Linked DNA regions of Stegostoma tigrinum. The protein of the gene in region 2 purifies or fractionates together with the protein of the main gene of each other region. This does not show direct contact. Links are inferred from orthologs where the notes say so. Each region holds a gene or a part of one and is shown on either strand. Other genes may lie near its edges.

What was found.
Region 1: the proteins of polr3b (region 2) and pfdn2 purify together in Homo sapiens (affinity purification with mass spectrometry; 3 studies listed by BioGRID and IntAct, with this or other methods). This does not show direct contact. The link is inferred for Stegostoma tigrinum from reciprocal best matches to the Homo sapiens genes POLR3B and PFDN2.
Region 3: the proteins of polr3b (region 2) and polr3k purify together in Homo sapiens (affinity purification with mass spectrometry; 6 studies listed by BioGRID and IntAct, with this or other methods). This does not show direct contact. The link is inferred for Stegostoma tigrinum from reciprocal best matches to the Homo sapiens genes POLR3B and POLR3K.

The regions. Positions count from the first base shown.
Region 1 is NC_081399.1:9,851,182-9,858,130, forward strand, and holds the start of pfdn2 (prefoldin subunit 2), read left to right. Parts: upstream 1-3,901; 5' UTR 3,902-3,928; coding exon 3,929-4,098; intron 4,099-6,949. Other genes in the region: nit1 (deaminated glutathione amidase), read right to left, coding at 1,306-1,548, 2,050-2,138. UniProt on the Homo sapiens protein: Binds specifically to cytosolic chaperonin (c-CPN) and transfers target proteins to it. Binds to nascent polypeptide chain and promotes folding in an environment in which there are many competing pathways for nonnative proteins.
Region 2 is NC_081371.1:48,529,127-48,536,656, reverse strand, and holds the start of polr3b (DNA-directed RNA polymerase III subunit RPC2), read left to right. Parts: upstream 1-4,465; 5' UTR 4,466-4,501; coding exon 4,502-4,573; intron 4,574-5,991; coding exon 5,992-6,024; coding exon of another isoform or gene 6,025-6,056; intron 6,057-7,530. UniProt on the Homo sapiens protein: Catalytic core component of RNA polymerase III (Pol III), a DNA-dependent RNA polymerase which synthesizes small non-coding RNAs using the four ribonucleoside triphosphates as substrates.
Region 3 is NC_081376.1:5,099,531-5,106,587, reverse strand, and holds the start of polr3k (DNA-directed RNA polymerase III subunit RPC10), read right to left. Parts: upstream 3,049-7,057; 5' UTR 3,025-3,048; coding exon 2,914-3,024; intron 2,428-2,913; coding exon 2,340-2,427; intron 1-2,339. Other genes in the region: snrnp25 (U11/U12 small nuclear ribonucleoprotein 25 kDa protein), read left to right, coding at 6,288-6,476. UniProt on the Homo sapiens protein: Core component of RNA polymerase III (Pol III) which synthesizes small non-coding RNAs using the four ribonucleoside triphosphates as substrates. Can mediate Pol I proofreading of the nascent RNA transcript.

The sequences.
Region 1 (6,949 bases), on a different chromosome or scaffold from region 2:
AGCAGGCCAAGCAGCATCAGAGGAGCAGGAAAGCTGACGTTTCGGGCCTAAACCTTTCATCAGACAGCCTCTCTGATTGAAGGGTCTAGGCCCGAAACGTCAGCTTTTGTGCTCCTGGGATGCTGCTTGGCCTGCTGTGTTCATCCAGCTTCACACCGTGTTATGTCGGATTCCCCAGCGTCTGCAGTTCCCATTATCGCTAGTGACGGAGAGTGTTCAACACCTCTGCTTTGTGAGTGAGTGAGCGTGTGTGGGTGCTCAGGGCAGGTTTACTCAAAGAAACCTACAGCACAGAAACAGGCCCTTCGGCCCTCCAAGCCTGCGCCGATCAAGATCCTCTGTCTAACCCGACATCTATTTTCTAACAGTCTGTGTCCATTTGCTCTCTGCCCATCCATGTACCTGTCTAGATACATCTTAAAAGATGGTATCGTGTCCACCTCTACCACCTCGGCTGGCAACGTGTTCCAGGCGCCCACCAGCCTCTGTGTGAAGAACTTTCCAGGCATATCTCCCTTAAACTTTCCTCCTCTCACTTTGAACTCATGACCCCTAGTAATTGAGTCCCCCACTCTGGGAAAAAGCTTTTTGCTATCCACCCTGTCTATACCCATCATGATTTTGTAGACCTCAATCAGGTCCCCCCTCAATCTCCGTCTTTCTAATGAAAATAATCCTAATCTATTCAACCTCTCTTCATAGCGAGCACCCTCCATACCAGGCAACATCCTGGTGAACCACCCTTGCACCCTCTCCAAAGCATCCACATCCTTTTGATAATGTGGTGACCAGAACTGTACACAGTACTCCAAATGTGGCCGAACCACAGTCCTATACAACTGCAACATGACCTGCCAACTCGTACTCAATACCCCGGCCAATGAAGGAAAGCATGCCATATGCCTTCTTGATCACCCTATTGACCTGCGTTGTCACCTTCAGGGAACGATGGACCTGAACACCCAGATCTCTCTGTTCATCAATTTTCCCCAGGACTTTTCCATTTATTGTATAATCAGTGACAGACTTTTGAATGATTGTGAACCAGGACCAACTGCAACGCTCACCATTGTAGCAATTTTCTGATTGACTTCTGGGCAAGCTGCTGCAGCTTGGTGATTGCGCGATACAAAATAAAACTCTAACATGCGAAGGAGAAAACTTCCTCCTTGAGAGGAAAATGGACGGGGGAGAGACACCTTCAGAGACACTGGAAGGTGGTCAACGTGGGGGAAGAGAGTGAGGGTAAGAAGGAAGAGTGGCGTCAGAGGCAGGAAAGGGAGAGGTGCGAGGGAGCACGGGTACCTGGCCATGCGGAAATACCGTTGGATGAGATCGCCCTCCAGGGTCTCTGCCTGGCTGAGTGTCTGCTCCTGAGATGAGGCAACATAATCAAAGGCTTCAGGGAGGAAGAGGAACTTGGCCCCTCGCTCTGCCCCCTCCCTCACCAGCGCCTGACACTCAGCAAAATTTCTCTCCTTGTCCCCCGTGCTGTTCAGCTGGCACACTCCAATCAAACTCCTCTTCAGCGTCGCCATCCCTCGCAACCTGTCCAAGACAGAGAGAGAGAGAGTGAGTGTCGCATAGAGACACACCTTCCCTCGAACCTCCTTCAAACCAGCTTCCAACATTCCTCAAGAAAAGACATCAACCGCAAACTTGCAGACGGGAAAAGACGTTGCCAAACTGGGATACTTTCGACTCCCAGGCACTCTCAGCGAGCCGCTCCCACGTTCCTTCCGGCGCCCAGTCCTTCCTCACCAACACCCACCACCTCATCTACCCGAGAAAGAGCAACAGGGAAACAAGAGCGTAGGAACAAATGGGTCGCTCGCAGAGTGGGAACGGTCAATACTGCCAGCCTGAGCAGCCGGCCCCGAACTATCCACAACTAACATCAGTAATTTGCAGCAAGGAATCCAGTGTGAGAACTGGGTGGGGGCTGTGAGCAGTGAGGAGGTTACAGGGCAATTTAGCGAGTGGACAAATACAAGTACCGTCACACAGAGAAAGGGCAAATTGTCAGCTTTGGTAAGGGTTTAAACAAACCCCAGAATCACAGAGTCTGAGTTAAGCATTGATAGACCAGGAAAGCTCGATGCACAAAAGGGTCCTGGGTGTCCCTGTCCTCTGGTCATTGGGAAGCACACAGGCAGAGCTCAGGAAGCGAAGGGGGGTTAGCGGAGGGGGAATAAGTGATGGGGAGGGGAGGGATGTGAGGGATGGAGATTGGGGGGATGGGATTTTGCATGTGTGGGGTAGGGGGATGTGTGGCTGGGGAGGGCTTGTGAAGGCTAGGAGATGTGAGGGATGGGGGTGTAGGCTGTGGGGTTGGTGATGTTGGGAAGAGGGATAATGGGAATGGGGGGGCAGTTACTGGGGGTGTATGCTGATGGAATGGATCAGGGATTAAGGGGGTAGGGGTTGATGGGAATGGGGGTAAAGGGAGAGGGGTGATTACTCGGGTCTGAGATAAAGGGGGTAGGGGATGATGGGAATCAGGGTAAAGGGGAGGGGTGGTTACTGTGGGAGGGCAGATGATGGGGAGGATAAAGGAAATTGGGGTAATGCAGGAGGAGAGATCACTGGGGGATGATGGGAAGGGAGTATAAGGGGATGGGGGTGACGGGAAGTTGGGTTAAGGGGATGGGGGATGATGGGAAGTGAAGTGGATAAACGGTTGGGGGATGATGGGAAGTGGGGTATATGGGGCATGATAGGAAGTGAAGTGGATAAAGGGTTGGGGGATGATGGGAAGTGGGGTATATGGGGGATGATGGGAAGTGAAGTGGATAAAGGGTTGGGGGATGATGGGAAGTGGGATACATGGGGTTGAGGGATGGGAGACAATGGGAAGGCGGGATAAGGGGATGGGGGAACGATGGGAAGGCGGTATAAGGGGATGGGGGTGACGATGGAAAGGGGGGGATGGGGGATAAGGATGATGGGGGGGTGATAGGGGGATGGGGATGATGGGAAGTTTGGGGATAAGGGGATGATGGGAAAGGGGGTAAAAGGGGGACAGTTACTGGGGGCACATGATGATAGAATGGGGAAGGGGTGGTTACTGGGATCAGGGATTACCCAACCCTAATCCTAATCCTAATCCTAACCCTTTCACACAGGGATGATGGGAATTGGGATGGGGGAATGTTGGGAAGGGGATGGGGGGAATGAGGGGATAGGGAATGATGGGAAGGGGATGGGGGAATAAGGGGATAGGGAATGATGGGAAGGGGGACGATGGGAAGTGGGGGGATAGGGAATGATGGGAAGTAGGGGGATAAGGGGATAGGGAACGATGGGAAGGGGACGGGGGAATGATGGGAATTGGGATGAGGGGAATGTTGGGAAGGGGATGATGGGAGGGGGGATGATGGGAAGTGGGGGGATAAGGGGATAGGGAATGATGGGATAGGGAATGATGGGAGGGGGCGGTTACCAAGCAGCCAACGTCACGCGGAGGCTGAGAGAGAACATGCCCCTGCGCCCAGTGTCCGTGGAAACCCGCTCAGGGGGCCTGACGCTGAATTAGCCGCCTATCTACCTGCCTGCTGTCAGATATGGACACACCTTTGAGGGGAGGGGGAGGACAAACTCGGCCCGAACACCATTCCCACAATGCTACAACATTCAGGGAAAATTTCGCCGAAGTTTTTTCTGGAGGGGGGGGGCGCAGAAAAAAGACGGCTTCACAAAATGATCGGCGTGAAAAGGGGTTGGATGTGAAATTGAGAGCCGGTTCACGGTTTATTGATTTATTTCGGTGTGTCGGCGGGGTTTTGTTTACGCTGCGTTTTTTTTATATGTAACTGGTTGACTTCCCTCCCGCTGTTGATGTGAAAGCCCAGTCAGGCGGTATCCGCGGGCACCACCCACCGTCTCTATAAAAGGAGGCCGGAGGGCCCCGCCCCTCTCCAGTGGTGGGATGGAGGGACCCGGCGCGGTAGGGATGCTGTCGGGAGGCCGGGCCCAACAGGCCCAGGCCGCCGCCCCCACACCCGAGCAGGTGCTGGCCGGCTTCAACAAACTGCGGCAGGAGCAGCGCGGCCTGGCGGGCAAAGGGGCCGAGCTGGAGCAGGAGGTGGCGGAGCACGGGTAACGGGACGGGGAGGGAAGAGAGAATGGAAAGGGTTGGGTGGGTGGGCGGGTCGGGGTTTGATTATATATAAATGGCACAGGCCCTTGGCCCATGATGTTGTGCCCAACTTTTACCCTAATCCTAAGGTCTACCTAACCTCCACCCCTACCTTATACTTCCATCCATATACCTGTCTAATAGCCGCTTAAATGCCCCTAATGAGGCCGACTCTACTCCCCTCTCCGACCACTCTCTGAGTAAAGAACCTCCCTCTGATGTCACCCCTATATCTACCTCCACTCACTTTAAATCTATGTCCCCTCATCATAGCTACCTCCACCCTAGGAAAAAGTGTCTGGCTGTCCACTCTATCTATATCTCCGATCATTTTGTACACCTCTGTCAATCACCTCTCATCCTTCGTTGCTCTAAAGAGAAAAGCCCTAGCTCTCTCAACCTTTCCTCGTAAGACCTTCCCTCCATTCCAGACAACATCCTGGCAAATCTCCTCTGCACCTTTTCCAACACTTCCACATCTTTCCCTGTAATGAGGCAACCAGAACTGGACACCATACTCCAGATGTGGCTGAACCAGGCTTTTGTATAGCTGGAGCATAACTTCACGGTTCTCAATCCCTCTATTACTGAAAGCTCACACACCGTACACCTTCTTAACAACTCTATCCACCTGGGTGGCAGCTTTCAGGGAACTGTGGACATGAACCCCAAGATCCCTCTGCTCCTCCACACTGCCAAGAACCTTTCTGTTAACCCTGTATTCTGCTCTCAAGCTTGCCCTTCCAAAATGAGTCATCTCTCACTTTTCAGAGTTAAACTCCATCTGCCACTTCTCAGCCCAGCTCTGCATCCTATTAATGCCCCTTTGTAACCGAGGACAGTCCTCCGCACTATCCACAACACAACCCACCTTCATATCGTCCGTGAACTTACTAATCCACCCTTCCACTCCTTCATCCAAATCATTTACAAAAACCACAAATAGAAGAGGACCCAGGATAGATCCTTGTGGTACACCACTCGTAACTGAACACCATGTTGAATGTTTTCCATCCACTACCACCCTTTGCCTTCTAAGGGTCAGCCAGTTCTGAATACAATCTGCCACATTACCCCCTATCCCATGCCTCCTTACCTTCTGCATGAGCCTATTACGGGGATCCTTATCTAATGCCTTACTTAAATCCATGTATACCACATCCACTGCTCCACCTTCATCCACGAGTTTGGTCACCTCTTCAAACAATTCAATAAGGTTTGTGAGGCATGATCTGCCCCTCACAAACCCATGCTGACTATCACAAATCAAACTGTCTTTCCGAGTGATTGTGAATCCTATCTCCGAGTCCGTTCCAATAATTTACCCACCATTGAAGTAAGACTAATTAGCCTGTAATTTCCAGGGTTATCCTTATTCTGTTTTTAGAACAGGGGAACAATGTTCGTCTCTCTCCAGTCTTCCGGCAGTATACCCATGGACAGTGAGGACGAAAAGATCATTGCCAAAGGCCCTGCAATCTTGTCCCTCACTTCCCATAGAATCGTTGGATGAATCCCATCAGACCCGGGGGACTTATCTGTCTTCAACTTCCTCAAAATTCCTAGCATATCTTCCTTACTGACATCGACTTCCTCTAGTCTACCAGCCTGTTTCACAATGTCTTCCTCTACAACTAGGTTCCTCTCAGTTGTGAATACTGAAGAAAAGTATTCATGAAGGACCTCTCCTATCTCTTAAGGCTCAGTGCACAAATGCCCTTTACAGTCCATGATCGGCCTTGCCCTATCTCTGGTTATTCTCTTATTCCTCACGTATGTGTAAAAAGCCTTGGGGTTTTCCTTGATCCTATCTGCTGAGGTTTTTCTCATGCACCCTTTTAGCTCTCCTAAGCCCTTCCTTCAGCCCCTTCCTGGCTAACTTGTATCCCTCTAGAGCCTTTTCCGTTCCTTGTTTCCTAAACCTTATATAAGCCTCCTTCTTCCTCTTAACCAGACGTTTGACCCCTCTTGACTGCATCTTCTCTGCCTGCTAGGGACAAACACATCAAGCACACAAGCAGTCTGCCTTCTTTAAACAATCTCCGCATTTCAATAGTGCTGTTCCCTGACAGCATCTGTTCCCCTTTAATGTTACCCAGTTCTTGCCTAACAGAATTAATGACCCTTGCCCCAATTGTAAACCTAACCCTGCTTTACGTATCTATTCTTTTCCATGACTGTTGTAAAAGTAACAGAGTTATGATCGCTATCGCCAAAATGCTCTCCTACCCACAGGTCTAACACTTGGCCCGGTTCATTGCCAAGCACCGTACCTAAAGTGTCCTCTCCTCATGTTGCTGTATGTACTTACCGTGTCCGGAATCCTTCCTGAATGGACTGGACACAATCCGTTCCATCCCAACTATCAACTAACATGTTCCCAATCAATATTTGGAAAGTTGAAGTCACCCATGACTTGTAACCCTGTGACTTCTGCACCTTTCCAGTATCTGCCTCCCAATCCGCTCCTCCACTTCTCTGCAACTATTAGGGGTCTGTTTATATAAAAAAAACCCCAACAAAATGACAGCTCCTTTCTTGTTCTGGACCTCAACCCAAACTGACTCTGTAGACACATCATTCTTGAACTGCCTTTTAGTAGCTGCTATACTCCCCCTGACTAGCAATGTCACTCCCTATTTCTTCCAAAGCATCTAAATCCCGGGACTTCCAACAACCATCCCTGTCCTGGAGTTACCCAAGTTTCTGTAATGGCCACGACCCGTAATGATTGATGGAGTTAACCTGGGTGGGGGAGTCTGTAGATGTGGTTTATTTGCATTTCCAGACAAAAGTCCCACATAAAACATA
Region 2 (7,530 bases):
CAGCTTACTCTGTTTGAAGTCGAGCATTAATCGGAAATACATTAAATCCTGAGCAACATGAGGGAATACTGAAATGAGTTACATGTTGGTAAACACAGTTTGCTGATTTGAAATTTCTATTCCATTCTCCCTCCAAATGTAAACAATACTGGAATTATTTCTAATCAAGTGCTGCTTGTTAAAACCTTGCCTTAATTTCTCAAAGTTCAGCAAAACCGTGGAATACATATTTGATTAAAGTTTATTCTTTTGCAAGTAGTTATAGTTCAGTTTGTGCAATGCATGTTCACCTTTTTAATAAGCTTGAAATAAAGTGCATTATGGAAAATTGAGTCTTGGTTTATTTTATATCAATGCAATTATTTCAAGATTACCAGGCATGAACGATCTGAAGTGGTACATTTGCCTCAGGTTGTGGCTCAGTCTCTCAACCTGACTCAGCTCAGAGTCCAGCACAAACAATGCCGAACTGCTGACAATTATATAGACAAATGGTGCAGCCAATTTACATGCAGCACGATCCAACAACTGTGAATGTGATGACTAACCAGTTCATGTATTGTTGGTGGAATCAATTGGGAATTTTGGCCACGGCAATAAGATGCTTTCCTGCTTGAATGAGTTTCTCAGATGGATGCCCAGAAGGATGGGCAAGTTATGTTTTGGTCCAATATCCCAGCCAAAAGAAACGGCACTTCCAACAGCACAGCACAGTGCTTACTCGTTCTTCACCCTCCAACAGTGCAGCACTTCCCCAGTCCAACCTCCCCTCGACACTGACCATCTGAAAGTATCCCACTCCCTTTGATCTGATCCCACCCACAGTGTAGCACTCCCTCAGCTCTGACTCTCCAATAGTGTGGAACTCTCCCAGCACTGTCCATCTTACAATGGACTGCTTGTTCAGTATTGATGGTCCTTCACTACTGAACGTCTGACATTGCGGTGCTCCCTCAGTGCTGACCATCTAACAATGTGGAATTCCCTCAAAGCTGACCCTCTGATGTTGCAGTGCTCCCTCAATCCTGACCCTATGATAGTGTGGAGCTCCCTCAGTGCTGACCCTCTGACTGTGTGGTGCTCCCTCAGTGCTGACCCTATGACAGTGTGCAGCTCCCTCAGTGCTGACCCTCCAGTGGACAGAACGTTTTCTTCTTGCATACCATGTTTGGTTGATTTAGGAGCTGCCAATTTCAACTGATTTAATTTGATTTGATTTGTTGTTGTCACATGTCCCTAAGTACAGTGAAAAGTTTTGTTTTGTGAGCAGTATACGTAGATCATAGCAAACAAGGACACACAGATCATAGTATCAGAGATAATGGGAACTGCAGATGCTGGAGACTCCAAGATAATAAAATGTGAGGCTGGATGAACACAGCAGGCCAAGCAGCATCTCAGGAGCACAAAAGCTGACGTTTCGGCTCTGATGAAGGGTCTAGGCCCGAAACGTCAGCTTTTGTGCTCCTGAGATGCTGCTTGGCCTGCTGTGTTCATCCAGCCTCACATTTTATTATCACACAGATCATAGGGTGCCTTGACAGCAAGGTATACAAGGTTATGGCTGCACAGGAGGTGTACAAAGCAAGATCAACATTAGATTTTAAATTAGAGAGGTCCATTCAACAGTCTGATAACAGCAGGGAAGAAGCTGTTCTTGAAACTGTTAGTGCCTGCATTAAAGTTCTGAATCTTTTACTTGGTGGAAGAGGTTGGAAGAGAGTATTATCAGGGTGGCGGAGTCTTTAATGATGTTGGCAGCTTTACCATAGCAAAGAGAAGTACAAATGGAGTTCATGGATGGCAGGTTGGCTTCCGCGATGGCCTGAGCAATGCACACAACTTTGTGTAATCTCTTATTGCCCTGGGCAGAGCAGTTGCTGTACCAGGGCATTACACACCCAGATAGAATGCCTTCTATGGTGCATCTCTAAAAGTTGGTGAATTTCCTAAGCTGCCGGAGTTTTGAGATTAATCTTGATAGGGATTATGGTGTTGAAGGTGGAACTGTACTGGATGAGCAGGAGCCTGACGTAGTTATCCAGATGTTCCAGGGATGAGAGTACAGCTCGAGAAATGGTGTGTGTTGTAGACTTGTTTTGCCGGTAGGCAAATTGCAGGGCATCAAGACAGGTTGGGAGGCTAGACTTAATGTGGGCCATGACCAACCTCTTCAAACACTTCATGATCATGGAGGACAGAGCTAAGGGGAGGTAGCTGCATGTAGAGACACATTGTCTGTGTTTTCTTTGGTTTGGGGATGATGACGGTCTTCTTGGAGCAGGTAGGGACTTCAGATCTTAGCACTGAGAGGTTGAAGATGTCAGTGAGTACTTCTGTAAGCTGGTCAGCATAGGATCTAAGTGCACAGCTGGGGACTCCGACTGGGCCAGTCACTTTCCTTGGGTTTGCTCTCAGGCAGACTGATCTGATGCCTGCACCAGTGACAGAGAGAACAGGTGCGTCCGGGGCTGTCGGGGCAGGTGACACCGCAGCACTGGCATTCTGCAACTTTTCATAGACCATAGAATAGATGCCATTTGGCATGTTGTCATTCCAGCTCTCACAGCGTGTACATTTCCACCCTTCTGTCCAGAAGGACCTTGTAGTCCAGAAATTTATCAATTTTCAGGTTATTCTCCAACTTTCTTTTGAAAGCCACGATGGGACCTTTCACTATCACACTCTCTGGCAGTTTTTTACTGGTCCTAACCACTCATTGCATAAATGTTTTTCTTCCTTTCACTTGTGTCACTTTTGCTGACCACCTCACAGTGATGTCCTCTTGTTTTCAATGCTTCTGCCAATGGGAGCCATTTTCCCCTATTCATTGAGTCTAGACCTCTGACAATTTTGAGCAGATCCTTCTTCACAAATACCAAATACAGCTTCTCCAATTGATTCACTTAAATGGTGACAATGATGTGCCAAGAAGGAATATAATACTCCATTTGAGGCAAGGAATCGTGTTTTACAAATACTTAACTATAACCTTCTGGCTTTTATACACTGATTTTACTCAGGAGTTTGTAATTTTTTCAAAGATATTTTGGTTGGGGAAGCAGTGTTTAATTTGCCATTTCTTCATTGCTGATGGGTCAAAAGCAGACAATCACAGACTTGTTACAGTGCTGAAGGAGGCTGTTTGGCCAATCGTGATTGTATTGGTGCAGTAAAAGTACAATTCACCGAGTGCTGTTCTCACACCTTCTCCCACCTGACCGTGCACATTCTTCATCTGCTGACACAAATCTCATTCTGTTTTGAAAGGCTGGAGTGAAGCTGTCACCTCCACACTCTCAGATTATGCATTCCCGATCCTAATCACTCACGGTACACAAAGGATTTTCCTTGCATAATTTTTTGCTTCTTTTACTAATCACTTTAAATCCGTGTTTTCCTGATTCTGAGTGGAAAGCGTTTCTCCCTATTCGCTCTGTCCAGGTTCCTAATGATTTTGAAAATTTGATTCAGTCAGATCACCTCTTTGCCTCCTTTTGTTGGGAAAATCATTCCAGCTTCCCCAGTTCTATCTTCAGACCTGAAGCTCCTATCTTTGGAACTATTCTCTTGAAGTATTTCTGTGCTTCCTGCCAATGCATTCACATCCTTCCCAAAGTGTGGTCCCCAGAACTGGGCACAACCCTCCAGTTGAGGCAGAATTATGGTCAAATTCAACATAACTTCCTTGTTTGTGTTCGCTTTGCTCCTATTCACAATTTTTAAAAGAAGAAAAGGCACAAAATTTATGGCCACTTGTGGCTGGCTAGCATAATGATAAAAACAAAGCAAGTGCTCCAGCTGCAAAACTGCAAAAGAGAATCAGAGATAATGGGAACTGCAGATGCTGGAGATTCCAAGATAATAAAATGTGAGGCTGGATGAACACAGCAGGCCAAGCAGCATCTCAGGAGCACAAAAGCTGACGTTTCGGGCCTAGACCCTTCATCAGAGAGGGGGATGGGGGGAGGGAACTGGAATAAATAGGGAGAGAGGGGGAGGCGGACCGAAGATGGAGAGTAAAGAAGATAGGTGGAGAGGGTGTAGGTGGGGAGGGGATCGGTCAGTCCAGGGAAGACGGACAGAAGAGAATCTGTTAGGTGTTGTGATGGAGGATGTCGTCAGAGGATCCTGGTTTCACTTTCTGACAATTCCTTCAACCCAATTTTAAAAGACTGAAGTCCTGACAATGAGATAGGAGGGGACTGTGGGGGAAAAGAAGAGGAAAATACCAGGATGTGTAATAACGAGAAGAGTGATGAATGATTTGAAGTGAGCAATTCTAATTTATCAGATACCCCAGCAACACTGAAGCCCCAAGCACCAGCAGCAGCTTTACTGCGATGCCAGGGCCAGGGCGAGCTCATGCTCAGAGCAGCCGGTGGGCGGGGCAAAAGGGCCGGAATCTTTCAGCGGCGCCGCGGAGTTCCGGCCGGACACCTTTCTTTCCAGGAGGCGGGTTCCGTCCGGACGGGGATTAGCGGCGGACCACGAGGTGGACATGGAGACGCTAGCGGCTGAGTTCGGGGATTTGGATCCGGAGTCGCTGGCGGCACCGGTCCGGGAGGTGGAGGTGAGGCAAAAGCGGGTGGGGGAGATTACACAGGGAGAGGTTGTGGGACGTGGGTGAGGGGGCAGCGCTTAGGTCTCTCTTGCTGCACAGGTAGCTTCCCTGCCTCTGACACAGGAGCCCCGTGTTCAGCTCCCAAAATGTGTAACAGCATCTCTGAACAGGTTGGTTTGAAAGTGTCTAGAAAGCTGTGTAGAGGGTGGGGAGCACATTTAGAGAGATGATGCTTGAAATTTGTGTGAATTCATATCAGAAATGGAGTGAAAGCCTGGGCTGTTTTTTAGACTGGGGAGCGATTTATTGGGGTCCTCTTAACTTTATGAAATGTCTTGATGAAGTCGATACAGAGAGAATGTTTCATCTCGTGGGGAAGACTGTAACCAGCAGCCTTCGATATAAGAGATAATAACAACTGTAGATTTTGGAGAATCCGAGATAACGAGGTGTAGAGCTGAATGAACACAGCAGGCCAAGTAGCATGGCCTGCTGTGTTCATCCAGCTCTACACCTTGTTATCTCAGCCTTTGATATTAGGTAGTCACCAAAAATGTATTAGTAGATACAGAAGATGGGAACAGAAGAATGAGGAGAAGGAATAAGTTATTCATCAACCTCACCCCCAGCCCTCCCAAAAAAGTCTGTGCGGCATTCAATAAGTTCATGACTTGACTGTATCCCCCTCAACTCCTTTCCTGTCTGTCCCACATTGCACTAGACTCTATGGTCAATGGGAAATCTGTCTGACTCAGCCTTAAGTACATTCAAAGGTCCTCTGCTCTCTCGAGGATAATTCCCCAGATTAGTATCCCTGTGTTTGTGTGGTGATGGATGGTCAAACTTCTCATCACTATCTTACGTTGGAGACTTTTAATCTTTAACTGTGACCCCCTCATTCGAGATTCCCACATGAGGGGAAATATCCTTGCAGCATCCACCCAGACAGGTACCCTCCGAATTTTATTTGCTGCAATAAGTTCTACCTCTCATTGTTCCAGACTCTGGATATAGATCCAGACAAACATGAGAGGAAAATATGACAAAACTCCTCATTTAGAGAGAGTGATGAAAAATTGGAACTGGAGACGATGGGGTGAGGTAAAACAAATGGTATAGATGTATTATAGATAACAAGGTGTAGAGCTGGATGAACACAGCAGGCATCATAGGAGCAGGACAGTTTGTTATCTCAGATTCTCCAGCATCTGCAGTTCCTACTATCTCTGGTATATATGTATTTTTGGGGGAACTGAATAAACATGAGCAAGAGGGATTAAGAGTGTTCTGATAGCAGATTTAGATGAGAAGAGATGGTAGGAGGTTTGATCAGAGCAAATATGCTGATATTTGGTTGTGCTGAACAGCTTGTTGAGTTATGTATTCAATGTAAAAATACTGATCTTTGTTTTCTGCTTTTCTAATAGGAAAAATGGAAGCTGCTTCCTGCATTTCTGAAGGTAGCAGAGTTTTTCCTCATTTGCATGTTTTGGTGAGGAGAATGATAGCAGTTGAAATGTTTAATTTGTTCTGTGAAGCTTATGACAATGAGCAACTCTGCACTCAGCCTACAGGTGGTGACAGATCAAACTTGCAATGCAAGAGATAATGGGAACTGCAGATCCTGGAGAATCCAAGATAACAAAGTGTGGAGCTGGATGAACACAGCAGGCCAAGCAGCATCTCAGGAGCACAAAAGCTGACTCCCCACACCCCTCTCTGATGAAGGATCTAGGCCCAAAACATCAGCTTGGGCTGCTGTGTTCATCCAGTTCCACACTTTGTTAAACTTGCAGCACAAGTTGGTGTGTCGCAGAGTTGCTTTCGGAGTTCAGTGGCAAATGTAACTGGGCCGGTGTTTGGGAGAGGGGCGTTGAGCATACTGCGACCTCTTCATCCTGCTTAAATGGAGATTCTTCAGAATGCTATTAGTTGAAAGTTGAGAGGATTGCTTGAATATGCTTGTATTTCCATGTGTTTGGAAAATAAGGGATGATCTGATCAAGGTGTTTAAAATGAGTTTGGCAGAGAGAACCCATTCTTCCAATGGAGGCTTGGCTGTTGAGAAGTGGTCATGAGTGTGAAAAGACCATGTCTGTTTAATTTGGTGCTGTTAAAACTGTAAACGGAGCTGAGAATCACTTTAAAATCACTGCTTCAAAGGATTTGTGCATGTTGTGGAAAGCAGGTGACCTGACATCTATGGCAAGCAACGTAAATAGCTCTTTGAACAAGTAGTAATTGAAGTGATTGCAGATGAATTGCTGAGCGGTTCTGTGTACAGATTCACCTGGGTGTCAACAAGAATTTGCTTAGTCTATGGACTAATGACCAGTTATCGATCACACAAGCCTTTTGTTTGCCAACACTAATTAGTTCTAAGATAACTGAATAGCTTCAGGCTGGGAACAAGATAGAGAGAAATGTTCTGATCTCCGTTAGCTCAGGGGCCGTCTCTCTGTTCTCTGCAGTCAAAACCCATTTTAAACTTGGGGAAAAAATGTCGGTTCATCTTTACGTCAGCAGTTGTCTTAAGCTGTGACTTTTAACTGATGTGTCAGAAACCTTTCATAAGTGAAACAGCCACTTTGTCTCTTACAAACTGTTGGAATTTTCAGAGAAAGGCAACTGAACAGTAACATTCTGAACAACAGAGAATCATAAAGATCATCTGAGCAACCCATGAATAAATACCTGAACTGGCTTCAAGCTTTCCCGCACTCTTAATCTATTTTTCCTATGTGTATGTCTGGGAGGAAGTTTTAAATTGTAGTATTTATAATGCAATTGTTATAACTGCATGTAGTTAGAGAGTAATTACTTGTCATAAATGGTCATTCTTGTTATGTAGAGAAACCTTGTTTGTGCTTTCTATTCACCTGAGTCTGAAAATAAGGTAGATTGAGGAATTTCGAAATCATTAACTTTTGTGGCTTGTGCTATGCCAATGAGCTTTGACAAAATGG
Region 3 (7,057 bases), on a different chromosome or scaffold from region 2:
GGGGAAACAATGTTTCCGCATCTACCTTAACAAGCCCCCTAAGAATCTTACATGTTTCAATAAGGTCACCACTCATTCCTCCAAATTCAAATAAGCACAGGCCTAACCTATTCAACCTGTCCCAGGCAACGTGGTCTCAGAAGGAGAGATTGAATTATCTAAATGTGATGAATTTTGAAACACAGTCTGTCAAGAGTAGCTTTGAGAGCGATTCAGAGTTATTTCTCTCTGCAGAGAGCAAAATTTTAAATGAGATTTTGTGCCCACAGTGTCACGAACATCTGGCTGGGCTGCTGGGAAATCCTTGGGATCTCTCGACCTGCTTGATCTGATATTGGATATGCTCTATGTGATGTTCAACCAATATTTGGCTGTAAACCTAAATATACTTCACATTAATTATGGCTGTCAAAGCTGCATGCACGTTATAGACTGTATTACTTTCCTAACCTTGTAAAGTCAAGTTTATTTTATTTGTTTAAAAACAGAATCCTACAGCATTAATCTTAGTGAGTTCTTGCAACTTTAAACTTCATGTACTTAGTGTTTAAAGTTACTGGTCCCTAACCTGGTAACATAAATTTGACAGTCTTGCCAAGGATCTATGACAGCTCTTAAGATAACTTAGAGAAGGAAGCTGCTATAGCGAGATCCGCACTTGTGTCTTTAGGTTAAAGTTGCCCCCTGCTACAAATATGAGTTTGGCGATAGCAAGAACTGCAGATGCCGGAGTCAGAGTCATCTGGAGGAACACAGCGGTTTGATCAAGGGTGTGAACCCGAAATGTCGACTTTCCTGCTCCACAGATGATATCTGACCTGGTGTGTTCCTCCAGCTCCACACTGTATTGACTACAAATATGAGTTTGTTTTGTTTAGGACTGTGTCTTTAATGCAAGGTAGAACAAAGCTGTTCTGACATCTCGATCCAAGATTGAGGGAGCAGCTAGTAAGCAAAAAGTCTGAAAGTGCTGGAACCATACTGGAATCATGCTTGGATGGAAAAGATCAAACTCACAGGGAGACAACATGAGGCTGGGGAACCACTTAGGGCTACAGAAAGCGTGTCTCCAGAAAAATTTAAAAAAAATTATTTCTCAGGGCTAAGAATAGAAACAAAATGTTGAAGAAATTCAAGTCTGACAGCCTCTGTGGGGAGCAAAATGGGAATATTTCAACTCTGTGAGACTTCTCTTCAGAAGTAGGCTGGAAAAAATGATTCAGAGATAGTAGATGCTGTAGAATCTGAGATAACAAGGTGTAGAGCTGGATGAACACAGCAGGCCAAGCAGCAGAGGAAAGGGAAGGCTGACGTTTCAGACCTAGACCCTTCAGAAAAAAAATGAAGACGGGTCTCGGCCCAAAACGTCAGCCTTCCTGCTCCTCTGCTGCTGCTTGGTCTGCTGTGTTCATCCAGCTCTACACCTTGTTATGTCTGGAAAAAATGATAGTTGTTATGTTGTTGGAAATGGAACAGGAAGAGCAAGCTGGGAATGCACACCAGAATAAAAGATGAAGAGAATGTGCATGGAGGGAGAGAAATGATACAGATGAAGTGTAGGTGTTATTGGTAATGGTAAGATGATCCAGGTATTTCCAACAATGTTTTTAGTTCAGCTCTCCAGCATCTGCAGTACTTTGCATTAACCCTGGTATCCCAGTATCACTTTGGATTGATCCTGGGAATATTTAATGCCTACATGAAGGAAAGTGTAAAGAATATGTTTGAACTGTGTTCTCTTCTTCAGTTTTGCTCAGAATAAGGGCTTTATGGGTTATGGTACATGTTGTCTTTCAAGAAAATGTATTAGTTAAGTGTCTTCACTCATTTGTTACAATATGTCTTAAAATGTGAAATCTCAGTGCATCATTCTCTGAGCAATGAACCGGAATTTTGAATTATCTTTTAAAATGGTGGCTCAGCGGTTAGCACTGCAGCCTCACAGCACCAGGGATCCAGGTTCGATTCCAGCCTCGGGCGACTGCCTGTGCGGAGTTTGCACATTCTCCCCGTGTCCGCGTGGGTTTCCTCCGGGTGTTCCGGTTTCCTCCCACAGTCCAAAGATGTGCAGGCTAGGTGGATTGGCTATGCTAAATTGCCTGTAGTGTTCAGATGTGCGTGGGTTACAGGGGGATGGATCTGGGTGGGATGCTGCAAGGGGCGGTGTGGACTTGTTGGGCCGAAGCGCGTGTTTCCACATCATAGAGAATCTAAGTAAAAGCTAAGGATCTCTGTAGGGAATGTTACACAAAACAACTGTGTAGAATAATGCAAGCTATCACGTGACCCATATTACCCAACCTCATCTTTCACGTGACAAGTTGTTTTAATTACCATACCTGCTGTAGAGTCAACATTTTTCCAAGCAGCAGCTCCACCTAACACATCATCGACTTCCTTAAGCTTGGGATATTTTCTGCTTGTTACCTTCAATACAAAGGAAAAATATCACTTGTTATTTTGCACACAAGCAAGTCAATAAAGTGAGTTCAAAGGAAAGTGCCCTGAACACAGTCATTATTGATTTCCAATTTACATTAGTCTCTAAAGTATCACATATTTCAGCCATTTCCCATTCATCCAGGTATAAACATTTTCAACAAGGTACAATCAGCTTAATAAATACGTTTGTGTATGAATAAAATATCCTCCACCACTCAATCTCCTTCCTCATCGATACCCCACCCCATTCCCTACATCCCACTCTCCCCTCCCCCTCTGCTCTCCATCCCCCCCCTTCTTTCTCTGATGAAGGGTCTAGGCCCGAAACGTCAGCTTTTGTGCTCCTGAGATGCTGTTTGGCCTGCTGTGTTCATCCAGCCTCACACCTTGTTATCCTAACCTTCTCCCATCCTGCTTTCCTTCATTTCCGACCCCCTTCTCCGGCCCCGGCCCCTAAGTCTCGTCCCCCACCTTCCGGGTGACGTTGTGAACGTACGGACAGGTGTTACACGCGAAACGATAACATTTCTGTCCCTCCTCCACAATCAGGACGTTCCCGCAGGTCGGGCAAAAGAGCAGCATCGCCGGAACCGGAAACAGAAACACTGCCCAGAGCCTTCTCACCGTGCGCCCGGATTTTGGTTCCGGGGGTGGGGGAAGGGCTGGTGCGGACCACGAGGCCTCGGAGAGAGGGAGGAACAGAGACAGTGCGTGCTCGTGTCAGGATCAGGGTCTGGAGTCCGTTTGAACAAACTCTGTCCGGCTGGGGTCGAGGGGAGGGTGTGCAGGCACAAGGAGGGACAGAGATAGAGACAGAAACAGCACAGACAAAAACACAGAGAGACAGAAACAGAGAGGGGGAGAGAGAGAGAGAGACAGAAACAGACAGCAACACAGAGAGAGAGACAGAAACAGAGAGGGGGAGAGAGAGACAGAAACAGAGAGGGGGAGAGAGAGAGAGACAGAAACAGAGAGGGGGGGGAGAGAGAGAGAGAGACAGAAACAGAGAGGGGGGGGGGAGAGAGAGAGACAGAAACAGAGAGGGGGAGAGAGAGAGAGAGAGAGACAGAAACAGAGAGGGGGAGAGAGAGAGAGACAGAAACAGAGAGGGGGAGAGAGAGAGAGAGACAGAAACAGAGAGGGGGAGAGAGAGAGAGAGAGACAGAAACAGAGAGGGGGAGAGAGAGAGAGAGAGACAGAAACAGAGAGGGGGAGAGAGAGAGAGAGAGACAGAAACAGAGAGGGGGAGAGAGAGAGAGAGAGACAGAAACAGAGAGGGGGAGAGAGAGAGAGAGAGACAGAAACAGAGAGGGGGAGAGAGAGAGAGAGACAGAAACAGAGAGGGGGAGAGAGAGAGAGAGACAGAAACAGAGAGGGGGAGAGAGAGACAGAAACAGACACAGACAGCAACACAGAGAGAGAGACAGAAACAGAGAGGGGGAGAGAGAGAGAGAGACAGAAACAGAGAGGGGGAGAGAGAGAGACAGAAACAGAGAGGGGGAGAGAGAGACAGAAACAGAGAGGGGGAGAGAGAGACAGAAACAGAGAGGGGGAGAGAGAGACAGAAACAGAGACAGACAGCAACACAGAGAGAGACAGAAACACAGAGAGGGAGAGAGAGACAGAAACATACAGACAGAAACAGAGAGGGGGAGAGAGAGAGAGAGAGACAGAAACAGAAACACAGAGAGGGAGAGAGACAGAAACAGAGAGGGGGAGAGAGAGACAGAAACAGAGAGGGGGAGAGAGAGAGAGAGAGAGACAGAAACAGAGAGGGGGGGGGAGAGAGAGAGAGACAGAAACAGAGAGGGGGGGGGAGAGAGAGAGAGACAGAAACAGAGAGGGGGGGGAGAGAGAGAGAGACAGAAACAGAGAGGGGGAGAGAGAGAGAGAGACAGAAACAGAGAGGGGGAGAGAGAGAGAGACAGAAACAGAGAGGGGGAGAGAGAGAGAGACAGAAACAGAGAGGGGGAGAGAGAGAGAGAGACAGAAACAGAGGGGGAGAGAGAGAGAGAGACAGAAACAGAGAGGGGGAGAGAGAGAGAGAGACAGAAACAGAGAGGGGGAGAGAGAGAGAGAGACAGAAACAGAGAGGGGGAGAGAGAGACAGAAACAGACACAGACAGCAACACAGAGAGAGAGACAGAAACAGAGAGGGGGAGAGAGAGAGAGAGACAGAAACAGAGAGGGGGAGAGAGAGACAGAAACAGACACAGACAGCAACACAGAGAGAGACAGAAACACAGAGAGGGAGAGAGACAGAAACATACAGACAGAAACAGAGAGGGGGAGAGAGAGACAGAAACAGAAACACAGAGAGGGAGAGAGACAGAAACAGAGAGGGGGAGAGAGAGAGAGAGACAGAAACAGAGAGGGGGAGAGAGAGAGAGAAACAGACACAGACAGAAACACAGAGAGGGAGAGAGAGACAGAAACACAGAGAGAGAGAGACAGAAACAGACAGACAAACAGAGAGGGGGGAGAGAGAGACAGACACAGACCGTAACACAGAGAGAGAGAGAGAGACAGAAACAGACAGACACAGACAGCAACACAGAGAGAGAGAGACAGAAACAGACACAGACAGCAACACACAGAGAGAGAAACAGACACAGACAGAAACAGAGAGGGGGAGAGAGAGAGAGAAACAGAAACAGACAGCAACACAGAGAGGGAGAGAGAGACAGAAACAGCTCAGACAAAAACACAGAGGGAGAGAGAGACAGAAACAGACAGACAAACACAGAGAGGGGGGAGAGAGAGACAGAAACAGCTCAGACAAAAACACAGAGACAGAGACAGACAGCAACAGAGAGAGAGAGAATCAGAGAGAGAGAGAGTCAGAGATTAGGACAGAGAGCCAGACAGTGGGATGGATGGGGACAGACAGAAAGAGAAAAACAAGGATTGAAAGGGAGAGAAACAACAGCCACAGCAATTAACGTGGGAGAGACTATAGGAATGTGGTGTCATGGATTTCAGAGATTAAAAGAACAGACAGTAAATAAATCAACTCATCACAGCAGGAAGTGAGAAACAGGGAGAATTCAGGTCCTACTGTACACCGTGGATCAGTTTACAGTCAGAATGAAGGAGACTGCAGAATGACTAAGTTCAAAACCACAAATTAGAGCAAGTATTTTGGAAGAAACTACCTGTTTTCCAAGTGAGGCAGTTCCCGATCATTAAGTACTAAGGAATCATCTTATCCAAAACTCTTGACTGGATAGATCATCAGTTTCGCAGAATAGTTTATTTCCCAAGTTTTCCTCCATAGCCCTAAATACATTCTGCCATGGTGGTGGTGGATGCAAATACAATAGGGGCATTTAAGGGGATTTTAGATAAGCACGTATGTAAGAAAGGAATGGATGGATGTGGACCATGGGCAGATGGAAGGGATTAGCTTAACTTGGTGTCATGGCCGGCACAACATTGTGAGCTAAAGGGGCCGTTCCTATGCTGTACTGTTTTATGTTCTATATCTCCCGTTCCTCCCCCATCCCACACACACTACCTCTTTTCCCCCTCCATGCCCTATCATATCTCCTGTGTCCACTCCACTGTGATTCAGTACTGAGCTAGTTAGCAATTGGCAAGATTGACAAGTGTTTTAAATGCTAATGAGGCTAATATAATAAGCATGGAGGCTTTGAATATCTATTGTGAAAAAGAACTGAACTCACAGAATGGTTACAGCACAGAGGGTGGCCATGTTTGTATTGGCTCTCCAAAGTTGCAGTTTTCCCAGTGCTATTCCCTTACCTTCTCTCCATAACTCTGCACGTTCTTTTCCAGATAATAATCCAATTCTCATTTAAATTCCACTGAAAGATTCACTGAGGATGACTGAAGACATTAAGAAGGAACCACTTTCCACCAACATTAAGCAGGAAGAAAATTTTGCCGTAGTCAATCAAGAAAAAGCTGTAGAAGAGGAGGAAGAGTTATCGCATGCAGAAATCCTGGACCTATTTCAGGAAGGTCTGGCCATGATTGTCCAGGATCCATTGCTGTGTGATCTTCCAGTTCAGGTTTGTGGTTTATTTTAATCATAAGCTTTACACATTCACAATAATTACATTTTTATCAGTGATGATGTTTGATATCAAGAATGCGAATACTGTTTGATCAATGGAAATCTTTTTCTGGTCTTTTAATTGTACACAGAATGTGGCATTGCTGACTAGACCCAACATTTATTTCCCATCCCTAATTGCCGAGTGGGCAGTTGACAGTCAGCCACATCACTGTGAATCTCATGTAGGCCGGACCACATAGCATAGAGTCGTAGAGATGTGCAGCATGGAAACAGACCCTTCGGCCTGACTTCTGTATGCCAACCATATATCCTAAATTAATCTAGTCCCATTTGCCAGCATTTGGCCCATATCCCTCTAAACCCTTCTTATTCATGTACCCATCGAGATCCCACTTCAATATTGTAATTGAACCAGCCTCCACCACTTCCTCTGGCAGCTCGTTCCATACATTCTGTATGACAAAGTTTCCCTTCAAGTCTTTTTTAAATCTTTCACCTCTCACCTTAAACCTCTAGTTTTGGATTCCTGTACCCTGGGAAAAAGACCTTGGCTAATCACTCTATCTATGCCCC